Arabidopsis thaliana: one gene and its partners. The protein of the gene in region 1 interacts with the protein of each later gene in a pairwise test. Each region holds a gene or a part of one and is shown in the gene's direction. Other genes may lie near its edges. The genes, in order: AT3G06220, AT4G00270 and AT1G12890.

Region 1 (3,905 bases):
CTGTCTCGATCTTTCGTTTGTGATATATATGATCAAGATCAAGCTTACGGAAACGTAAAAGACACAACGAATTTAACGAGTTCAGATCTCCAATGTGGAGACCCTACATCTCGCCGGGAGTTTTACTCCCGGAAATCCACTAATATCATCACTTCATCTCCGATCCTTTACAAGTGGTAGACCAAAACCTACTTTGGTGCATCTTTTGATCTCTTTGGATCACTGAGAGTCTAATGTTTTCAGTAACCAATACAATATCTTCGGAGATAACCCTAACCCTAATCTTGGTGGAGAAGAAAAGGGTGGTTGAGAAGCTGTGAAGCTGTCTATCTCTCGCTTGCTTTCTTGCGTAAACAGCAGTCCATGAAACTCTTCAAATCGTCAGAGCATTCTTCGGGGGCTTTTGGTGGTTCTCCAAAACAAACTGCACATACTATCGCGGCTTGGTCTGGTAGCATCGGGTAGTAACCCACCAAGATCTCGAGCATCGTAAGCCCAAAACTCCATATATCTCCGGCGTAAACGTTTGATTTGTCTTCTTCTGTAACACCATCAGCTTCACTATCGAGTCTTTCAGGACTCATGTATGCGAACGTGCCTACGAACGAGTTGCACTTGTTTAAAGACCTGACCACGATCTTGCTCACTCCAAAGTCTGCGATCTTGACTTCTTCTTTTGAGCTACGTAGCAGATTCGCTGGCTTGATGTCTCTATGAACGATCTTGTGCTCGTGCAAGTAATTTTTTCCTTCCAAAACTTGACGAGACATCAAAGCGAGTTGTTTTTCTGTAACCCCGCGTAGAGACTCGAGCGAGCCAAGATCCATGTAATCCATTAGAATAGATACTTCTCCGGAAGGATTCTGGAAGATGTCGTGACACTTTGCGACGTAAGGAGAGTTGACCATGCGAAGGATTTCGATCTCACGGAGGGAAGTAGAATCCCAGTTTTCTTTCACTTTCTTCAACGCGTAGATCTCTGAGGTTGTCTTGTCCTTAACTTTGAATACGGTTCCTCCGTTTCCACTGCCAAGAACACTGATTCTGTCCAAATTAGCTACAGAAAAAGTGTTGCTTGCGCAGGAAGAAACTGTTGCAGAGACTTTTGTAGCGGGTATGATGGGGAAGCGGCAAGGGGGGATAGTAGTAGGAGCTTGTATAGGAGACAGTTTGAGGTTAAGGAATTGATTATCTCTAACCATAACCATCTTCTTGTTGTTGAATGATCGATCTTCAAGAGCTTAATTAGGGTTTTGTTTTTTGAGAGTAGAGGGTCGGACAATAACAATTGATTAATATAGGAATCCACATTTTTTTTTTTTTGAAATTCTTTATTTTCATGATTTAGTTTACATGTCAAATATTCATATTTGGTTTTGGATCGATCAGATACGCATACCATTATTATTTCCCAAAATTTCAAATCACGTAAAAGATTTATAAGTTTGTTGAGAATTTTTTTTTCATATCAAAATTGAATATTAACTAAACAATTACCCCCAATAAGTTTTTTTTGACAAAAGAGTACAGAGAGATTGATGACGTACAGAAGAGGAGAAAGCTTTACTGTGGTATTTCCATTTTGGTTGTTGTCATTGACTCATCTTTTCATTTACTGCTATCATTGACTGTAATATAGTACAAACTATGGGGTTGTTTTGAAAAATTATATGGGGTCAAATGGTAAATAAAGTAAAGATGATTAACCCAAGTACACCACCACCTCTCTCTCTATACTCTCTCTCTCTCTGTCTCAGTCACTCTCACACAAGTTACTTTTCTCCGGTGATCCAAATCCTGCTTCAGTCTCTGGACTTGTTTTTTTTCTTCTAAGTGACCCTTTTTGACCAGATTAGCTCAAATACTTGGTAATAATTTCCTCTCTTTCTCTCAGTTTCTTAGAAATTTTTATACATTTCGTACGTTACATAATTCGTCTGCTCTCTCTTTACCTCACAGACACAAAGAGTTCCAGCAACTTCAATGGCTTCCGGTGATGTACTTCCTCGCTTCTACACTGTCTTTCTTTCCTGTGTCAGTTCCAACTCTTTGGTAAGATTTTTCTCTTGATTTTTAGTTTGTTTCTGAAACAAATTAGGTTATGTGTCTGAGTTGGTTTCTAGGAAAAATCTATTTGCTTTATATGTTAAGTCTTTGTTGTGAGTAATTTACGTCAGTAATTCTTTAAAGATTTTAACTTTTTTACCAACTTCGGTTGATATTGCTAGAATCTGTCAAGAGTATAGAGTTGGATCTCTCAAGTTTTTCTCAAATGTTTAAAGATTCAAAAACAGAGGTTTTCTTTAAACAAAAATTCGTATGGTTAGTAGTGTTTACAAATCCCTAGATGAAAAAATTGGTAAACATAACCCATCTTTGTTGGATTTTGAACTTATTTATGAGTATGCTATTTGGAACATAGTTTTGTTTGTCTAGTGAGACATATAACCATCACTCTCCTTATTGTCTCATGTGTAAAAAGCCTCTGTTGCAGAAAGAGTCTCTCGTTTATGTTGTTTTGCTTCTCATTCATTTCTACAGTTTTAACTTGTGTTACATTTTCTTGTGTTGAGAAGCTGATACCAAGGTCTTACTACGAACATTTACCGCGTCGTTTACCCAAAACAGCGATTCTCACGGGAACTGGTGGAAGAGTTTGGAAAGTAGCAATGATGAGCAAGCGAGAGCAAGTGTATTTGGCACGAGGCTGGGAAAATTTCGTGGCCGATAACGAGCTAAAAGATGGAGAGTTCTTGACGTTTGTTTTTGATGGGTACAAAAGTTATGAAGTAAGTATCTATGGTCGCGGTAGCTGCAAAGAGACGCGAGCAGTCGTTCATGTTGAAGAGATCTCTGATGAGTCAGAAAGTGACAACGATTCTCTTGGTAGCCTTGTTGACGTAACACCCATGCCAGCGGAAGAGAACTCTGATGATACTGAAGGTGACAATGATTCTTGTGATAGCGTTGTTGACGTAACTCCCATGCCAGTGGAAGAGATAAGTGATGCAAGTGATAGTGACTATTATTAAATCATCTGATTGATGCTGAACTATTCGTATGTTTAATTCACTTTTCCTCTGTGGACATGAATTCTCTTATATCACTTCATCCCTGAAGTTGTTTTCGTCATTGTTAGGATTATAAACTCTATTTGTATCTGAGAAATTGCCACTATTACCAGAAGTTTAAACAATGGTTTAATGAAGATCACTATTACGAGAGAAGTGTATCTTTCTTTACAAGGTATGTGTATATACTGATGGAATTTGAGATATATCTCTAATTTGAACTTTGAGCAGCTTTTTAAATAATTGTAAAAATAAACGATATGTTTCATAAATCATAATTAGCACGCTCTGAGTTTCTCAAGAGGAACATGAACCTTAAGAATGTTCATCCTCAAGCATTTTTAAAGCCAATTCAGCTAACCAATGAACCGTTCTGCTCTGTCGGCTCACTCCAACCGTGCCAGAGAAAACATCAAAGTTCTCAAGCTCAGCCGTAGTTTCCAGAACCTTCACGAGCTCTTTCTCCATACCCAAATCCCTGAACATCCCAACGTTCTCCACATCATCTTCCATCATCCATATCGCAAGCTCGATCACAAACCTCCTGATTCTTGGAACCTTGATTGCTGGCTTGTCATGCTTTTTCAGAATCGAAACCAGTGAGTTTGCAAGTTCTTGCTTTTTGATCCCTGAATCCGTCAGAACAATGTTTGCTTCTTCTGAACTCATGAATTTGAACACTTGTGCTGCCAATCCTAGCATCACTTCCAGCAATTTATTGTCACCTGATGTTATTGACTTCAGTACCTGCAAGAAAACAGAACAAGTTTTAATCTTTTGGGGGTTCAACGCAGTATTTGTACCGACAGACAGACATACTCACAGTAGGCGCTG
Region 2 (3,810 bases), on another chromosome or scaffold:
AAATAAAAATGATAATACATGAATAGTGTCTTGGTAATAGGAGGAATACATAGAAAGATACACTGATTTTAAATAATAAAATATGAAATAAAAATACATAAATGATGTATTGGTAACATAAGCACTACATGCACATGTCAACTGATTTTAAATAACAAAAATGTTATGTTAAAACAAAAATAAAAATACATGAATGATGTCTTGGTAAGAGAAGGACTGCATGCATAGATCAACTGTTTTTAAATAACAGAAATCTTAACTCTAAATATTAAAACAAAAAGGAAAATACAGAAATAATGTCTTGATAATAGGAGCACTATATGCAAAGGTAAACATGTATTTTTTCTGCTTCCCTCCCATTCAAAGCCTTAATCAATGAAGTTTTGGCTAAAAGAATGATCTTTGACCGATGGAGTATTGTGTCGCTTGATGTGATCTTTTTACATTAGAATTGTGGTCATTTGTCTCAGGGAAAAGAGGAGCTATACAATATAACAAGAGGTCCTTCTTGAGGTGGTGAAGATCATAAAGAAGCACGGTTACGTTCCTTTTGTAATATTCCTTGGATCTCGAAATCGAGTACAAGTTCCTATCATGCTAATGGCGGAGATGGATGAAGGCATTTTACATTGTAATCTGTTCATTTAATTTGGATTGCTTTCATTGTTTCATTTGTTTGACATACATAGACACTAATAGTTGAGGATTATGTATTTACAACAATAAAGTGTTCCACTACACAAGGTACAATCGATATATATATAGTGTTAACTCTCATTTGTGTATATATGCATATCAGTTTGTAGGTGTTACTATGATAGTAGTACATTTATTAATTTATAAAAATTTATACGTAAAATACAATATTAATTTTTTAAAAAGAAAAATTTTAATTTAGTTTTTCTTTATGTTTTATTGTTTGTATATTCTGTTAGATTTTTTTTTATTACTTTTTTTATTTTTTCTCTGTAAGATATTGTGCATGTATACGACGTTAACGTGAGACTTAATCCAATTTTTTATTACACAAATCTTAACAATGATTTTTCATATAAAAAAAGTTACAAAACCAAATATGACGGATCAAATACGCAAAGAGTTATGTGAATACAAAAGAGATCACACCAACTATACTCTAGAAAGAGTTGCAATTATGACTTGAACAAAAGTTTCATATAAAATTAGTCTTTGAATGTATGCTAAAGATTTATGATTATTAATTTTATGATATTACTGGTACCATATTTTTACATAGGGATTTCAAAAAAAATATTATCTTATTATCTTATCGATTTTGGTTAATTTTTACATTACCCCGATTTGAGACCGACAAAATTTATTAATTTATCGTGTAATATGTTTTGTTCAAATACCTTTTAATATCTATTTAATAATAAAAAAATATTCAATCAGAAATGGATAATATATAATATAATTATTTACTTAAAATATATCAGCAATGAATCTTAAAATGTAGAAAAAACTAAATTTTAATTTATTATATAAAAAAGGTAGATAAAATATTTTATACTATTAAGTGACTAAAATGATAGATTTTTGCAAGAGCAAAATTGTACTATTGATGAATATTAAACAGTAGAAAAAAAGATGAAAGTGTTTGTTTTGTTATGAATGTTGAGAAAAGTATGGCCAAGTGTTACTCATCCTATTTTGCTTTTCTTTTTCTCTCGGGTTTCACTTTTTAAAGGTCGTGAAGATTGGGAATCACTGCTCTGCATGCGCCCTAGAATCAGCAAGTCTAAAGCAAGCAATAAGCATGGTGACTCCGAAGCAGATCGATTTCTCTTCCTGTGTTGGTGCTGATAACTCCAACGGTACCCTCTCCCATCGAAGATCTCCACGGAATATTCCTTCCTCAAAGCGTGCTGCTTCCGTCGCAGAAGAAGAGACTATGAAGAAGAAGATGAAGATGAAGAAGAAGAAGAAGAAATTGGATCCGCCGTTGATCGTCCGGATCTGGAACGAGGAAGATGAGCTCTCTATCTTAAAGGTATTGTATTGATCTTCTCCATTTATAGTTTGATTTGGTTTTGCATTGTGATTTTCTAAAACCAGATTTTCGAAATTGCTCAGGGGTTAGTTGATTACAGAGCTAAGACAGGATTCAATCCCAAAATTGATTGGGATGCGTTTTGTAGTTTCCTCGGAAGTTCTATCGTTGAGAGATTCTCCAAGGATCAGGTTTTGAGTAAAATCAGGAAGTTGAAAAGGAGGTTTCATGTTCACTCGGAGAAAATCAATCAAGGGAATGATCCCAAATTTACTAGGTCTAGTGATTCTGAAGCCTTTGGGTTTTCTTCGATGATTTGGGGACAAGGTGATGATGATGGTATGGATAAGGAGCACGAGGTAAACGGAAATGGTGCAGCGGAAAACCGGACTAACGAGAGCGGGGAGGAGATGTTGAAGGAGCACGAGGAGGAAGTGGCTAATACTGAACTTTTAAATGAGAATGGGGCAGCCAAAACAACAGAGAATGGGACTAGTAGTGGAAAAGAGAGACATGATGAGGACAATGATGATGATGATGAGTTATGCGCGGTGCAGGATGCATTTGAGGCGGTGATGTCGCAAGGTTTAAGTGGTTATCAAAAGAAGTTGCAGCTTGAGAAGCTGATGAACCTTGGAAATGGTAAAAGAAGAGAGTTGAGTGATGAATGGAAAGCGTTATGTGTTGAGGAAACAAGATTCAATATCAAGAAGCTTAGATTTTCCGCCAAGCTTGCAGAGGCAGCTAATGATAGTTAGATGAAACCAATATGCCCTTGTAGCATTTGGTGTTGTTTAGGTTCTTAGTAAGTCATAAGCTCTAGTCTGTTCAGTGTATTTATCTTTGGATCCTGTCTTTCTTCTACTTGGGCAAGTGTTTGTAAGATATTCCACTTTTTACTCAAGTATCCACAAGAGCCAATGTAGTAGAGTGGCTTGTGCAAGAGTCTAGAGTCTAGGGTTAATAATGTGCTTTAAGGCATGCTTGTGTGTGTGCCTAAGAGTGTAGTGAAGTAGTATAAGTAAGAGTGTGTGTGTGTCTTGTAATATTATCCAAGATATTAACAATGTAGAAGATTAAAAGAAAAATGGTTTTTGTTCTTACTCTCTAAGACAATGAAACCTTAAGAGTTATATCTTACCAAATAAAAGAGTCAAACATTGATTCATTTCAATATAGAGTTTCATTTGATTTCTAGCTTCACCTTGGAGCAGAACTTAAGGACGCAACTTGTTTCTTCTTCCCAAATCAGTTCCAACATGATGGATTCGTTTGCCTTCACATCGTTAGCTTGGATGAATCCTTGCCATCCTCCTACCATTCGTAGTCTTTTTCTTTTGTCGTCCTCGAACCGCAGAGTCGTTAACCACTTCACACCATGTTTATCCAACAGAGTCATTTTAGTTTCTTCATTGATACCATTCATCCTCGTGAAAGGAACCGGAAGACGCTGAAACATAGATTCACACAAAAGATTCTCATTCTATAGACTGTTAAAAGACAATGGCTTGGAATGATGAAACGTACCAGTAGAGAACTTTGGATTGTATAAGGTGTTAGAGTTAATGTCACAAATCGGTTTTCGGATAGTAAAGACTTTCTTCTTGAGATTTTCTCGTCGTGGATACTCTCTTCATCGCTTTCTTGCTCTGTCGAAAGAGAGACTACTTCATTAGCTTCTTCTGGCTCGTTGGGGATCAAACGTAGAACAAGAGTTGCTCTTTTCTTTATCAGTTTGAGAGTTATGATACTTCCAGCTCTTAGTCCATTGGCACTACAGAAACTTCTCCATCCTCGTT
Region 3 (3,290 bases), on another chromosome or scaffold:
TAGTGACTTGCTTCGAATTTGCGTTCTTAAGGTTCTTCTTGTTTTTGAGCTCTAACAAAAATAATTTATTTATTTTCATGTATAAATATTAAAACTGATTATATAGAGAGACAGGTGATAGTTAGCAGTGAATGCTCGTTGGTACAACTCCTCATTCTTCTCCGCAAAAATAGCAAGTTATTTAACAAACAAAAAAATTCATATAAACGATTTTATTTTTTTGTGACTTTTGAGATTCGTTAATTCTGGAAAATTTGTTTATTTTCAAAACAAGAATATGGATTCGTCATAAAAGCTAGGCTATGATCAACATGTTTCATACAAACAAGAACAGGGCTTTTCAAGAAAGTAGCATTCTCTGTTTCTGTTGTCTCAATCCCTTTTGATTTTTTTTGTGTTGGCAGATTCATCAAATGTCGGTTCTTTCTTCTCGGACAGGACGAGATCGTCAACGTTACGACAACAACTTCCGTCTCGTTTCTGGGTACCAACAACTTACACAACAAAAAATCATTTTGTTTTGTTTTTTTGTTTCTTGCAAATCTTGAAAATTTTCAAGAAACCCCAAAAATCAGAAAACAAAATTGTTGATTTTCTTGTTGTTTGTTTCTCTATACATTATGAACAGATGCATTCCTTATAGGCTGATGAAAGCTGACGAAACTGAAGAAGACTCAGGTGTTGACTTTGTAAACAAACTTGAAGTTCTTATGGTTTCATCTCCTAATCGTCATGATCTTGTCTTCCCAAAGGTCTTTTTTTGAATTGAAAAATCATCCTCTGTACTATCATTTGTAATTGCTCATGTTAATTTGTTGTGTATATTATTATCAGGGAGGATGGGAAGATGATGAGACTGTTCTTGAAGCTGCTTCTCGTGAAGCCATTGAAGAAGCAGGAGTTAAAGGAATACTTAGAGTAAGTTTACACCTTTATTAAACAAAACACTAAGAAAGCTATTTTAAAGTTTTTTGAATTAGATGTGTTTTGGTCATGTTTTTGTTTATAGGAACTTCCTTTAGGAGTTTGGGAATTTAGAAGCAAAAGTAGCACAGTGGAGGATGAATGTTTAGGTGGATGTAAAGGATATATGTTTGCATTAAAAGTTACCGAAGAACTCGAGGATTGGCCAGAGCGAAAGAATCGTGAACGAAGATGGGTAAAGCTTAAGATTCAAATGTGTAGTTATTCATATAAGTAAGTACAATGTTTTAACTCTGAGATTACTCGAAAATGTGCAGTTGACTGTTAAAGAAGCGTTGGAGCTTTGTCGGTATGAGTGGATGCAGAGAGCACTTGAAGAGTTTTTGAGAGTAATGGAAGATGAAAGAAGATTGAGAACAGAGGAAGAGACAGTGCATGATTCTTCAAAGCTAGAGGAGGAGAGTCAAATAGATCCTTGGTACTGTTTTGTAGTTAACTAGTTTTTCATATTCTTTAGCTAACGTAAACAAATTGAAAAAATGAGAAGTAAAGTGACTGCAACACATGTGACATGATATAATCTCAAATCATCTGTCTTGAATCTTGATATCTGTCTGTTTGAAGTGATAAAGATAGAGTTGTCTTTATATGCAATTGGGACACCAAATGCAAAAAGACAAAGGACATAGAAGAAATTACCTAATCACACACAAATCAATGCTTAAGGCTTGACTTCAAAATCAACTGAATACACTTAAGAATCCAAATCCCTAAGCTTATGTCACATGTTTAGTTAGGTTTCTTGACATTTGTACAGTTTTTGTCTGAGTCTATAATGACAATGTCCTTGTCACAACTTGGCTTTGCTCCATACATTCCTTAATATGAATCACCTCACAGACTAAAGTGTGGAAAATATTAAGCAAAAGGACAAAAATAGAGAAAATATGAAACACTTCCTTGTTTCTGCTGACACAGTTTACGAAGGAGAAATAAGTCTTTGGAGTTAAATTTTTGAACTCCCAACAGTTTCCTTAAATTTAATGCCAAATCCAAAAAGGCATCAATCAAGTTCACACACTCTTTTGCTCTTCTTACTCAATATAGAGTTTATATAGCAGCATAAGGAACCTCAAAGCTCAAGAGACTTAAAGAGAGAGAAACATTGATCTCTGAATATTGTGAACATGTTGAAATCAAGTAACAAGAGAAAAAGCAAAGAAGAGAAGAAGTTACAAGAAGGGAAGTACCTTGGAGTGAGGAGACGTCCATGGGGAAGATATGCAGCTGAAATCAGAAACCCTTTTACTAAAGAAAGACATTGGCTTGGAACGTTTGATACAGCCGAAGAAGCTGCTTTTGCATATGACGTTGCTGCTCGATCCATCAGCGGCTCTCTAGCTACAACAAACTTCTTCTACACTGAAAACACCTCTTTAGAAAGACATCCACAACAGTCTTTGGAGCCTCATATGACTTGGGGATCTTCTAGTCTCTGTCTTCTTCAAGATCAGCCTTTTGAAAACAACCATTTTGTTGCTGATCCTATCTCTTCTTCTTTTTCTCAAAAACAAGAGTCTTCTACCAATCTCACTAACACTTTCTCACATTGTTATAATGATGGTGATCATGTTGGCCAAAGCAAAGAGATTTCTTTACCTAATGATATGTCAAACAGTTTATTCGGTCATCAGGACAAAGTCGGTGAACATGACAATGCAGACCATATGAAGTTTGGCTCAGTTCTCAGCGACGAACCTCTCTGCTTTGAGTATGACTACATTGGGAATTATCTTCAGAGTTTTCTCAAAGATGTCAACGACGATGCTCCACAGTTTCTTATGTGAGCTTGTATTACCGATCCTTCAATTTATGTAATATAAAAAGTATTGTATCTTTCTTTAGTGTCAAATGCATTCCCAAACCAGAGTTGTGTATTAAGCAGAGGATGTAATATGTTTGAATCAAGTTTATTACTATAAATTATAGAGCACAAATACATAATAAACTCAGGAACTACAATTATACATTCCGAATCATGTAACAGTAAAAAATAATGGAGCAGACATCAAGAGGTTGTTGAGTCTTCACTTCCAGTTATTGGCAACAATGTCAGCCAAATCAACGACTCTCTGTGAGTAACCCCATTCATTGTCATACCAAGCAATCACTTTAACCATATCATCTCCCATAACCATTGTGAGGGAAGAATCAATAGTGGAGGATACATCAGAGCACCTGAAGTCAACAGAGACAAGAGGCTCATCACAGACGTCAAGGATACCTTTAAGCTCTTTCTCAGCTGCATCTCTGAAAGCAGCATTGACTTCTTCAGCAAAAGTTTTCTTGGAGACTTGCACGACTAA

Evidence for each region.
Region 2: the proteins of AT3G06220 (region 1) and AT4G00270 interact in a two-hybrid assay, tested with the Arabidopsis thaliana proteins (one large-scale study listed by BioGRID).
Region 3: the proteins of AT3G06220 (region 1) and AT1G12890 interact in a two-hybrid assay, tested with the Arabidopsis thaliana proteins (one large-scale study listed by BioGRID).

What each region holds. Positions count from the first base shown.
Region 1 is NC_003074.8:1,882,799-1,886,703, reverse strand, and holds AT3G06220 (AP2/B3-like transcriptional factor family protein), read left to right. Parts: upstream 1-1,733; 5' UTR 1,734-1,868; intron 1,869-1,959; 5' UTR 1,960-1,983; coding exon 1,984-2,052; intron 2,053-2,576; coding exon 2,577-3,032; 3' UTR 3,033-3,356; downstream 3,357-3,905. Other genes in the region: MKK8 (MAP kinase kinase 8), read right to left, coding at 327-1,208; AT3G06210 (ARM repeat superfamily protein), read right to left, coding at 3,387-3,818, 3,895-3,905.
Region 2 is NC_003075.7:116,436-120,245, reverse strand, and holds AT4G00270 (DNA-binding storekeeper protein-related transcriptional regulator), read left to right. Parts: upstream 1-1,602; 5' UTR 1,603-1,777; coding exon 1,778-2,011; intron 2,012-2,094; coding exon 2,095-2,769; 3' UTR 2,770-3,161; downstream 3,162-3,810. Other genes in the region: MEE45 (Transcriptional factor B3 family protein), read right to left, coding at 3,195-3,494, 3,539-3,810. UniProt on the Arabidopsis thaliana protein: DNA-binding protein, which specifically recognizes the GL1 enhancer sequence. May be involved in leaf initiation. May play redundant roles with GPL1 and GPL2 in cytokinin responses by regulating the transcript levels of type-A ARR response genes.
Region 3 is NC_003070.9:4,389,623-4,392,912, forward strand, and holds AT1G12890 (Integrase-type DNA-binding superfamily protein), read left to right. Parts: upstream 1-2,048; 5' UTR 2,049-2,111; coding exon 2,112-2,771; downstream 2,772-3,290. Other genes in the region: NUDT12 (nudix hydrolase homolog 12), read left to right, coding at 414-484, 629-752, 835-918, 1,010-1,159, 1,242-1,424; GAPA-2 (glyceraldehyde 3-phosphate dehydrogenase A subunit 2), read right to left, coding at 3,012-3,290.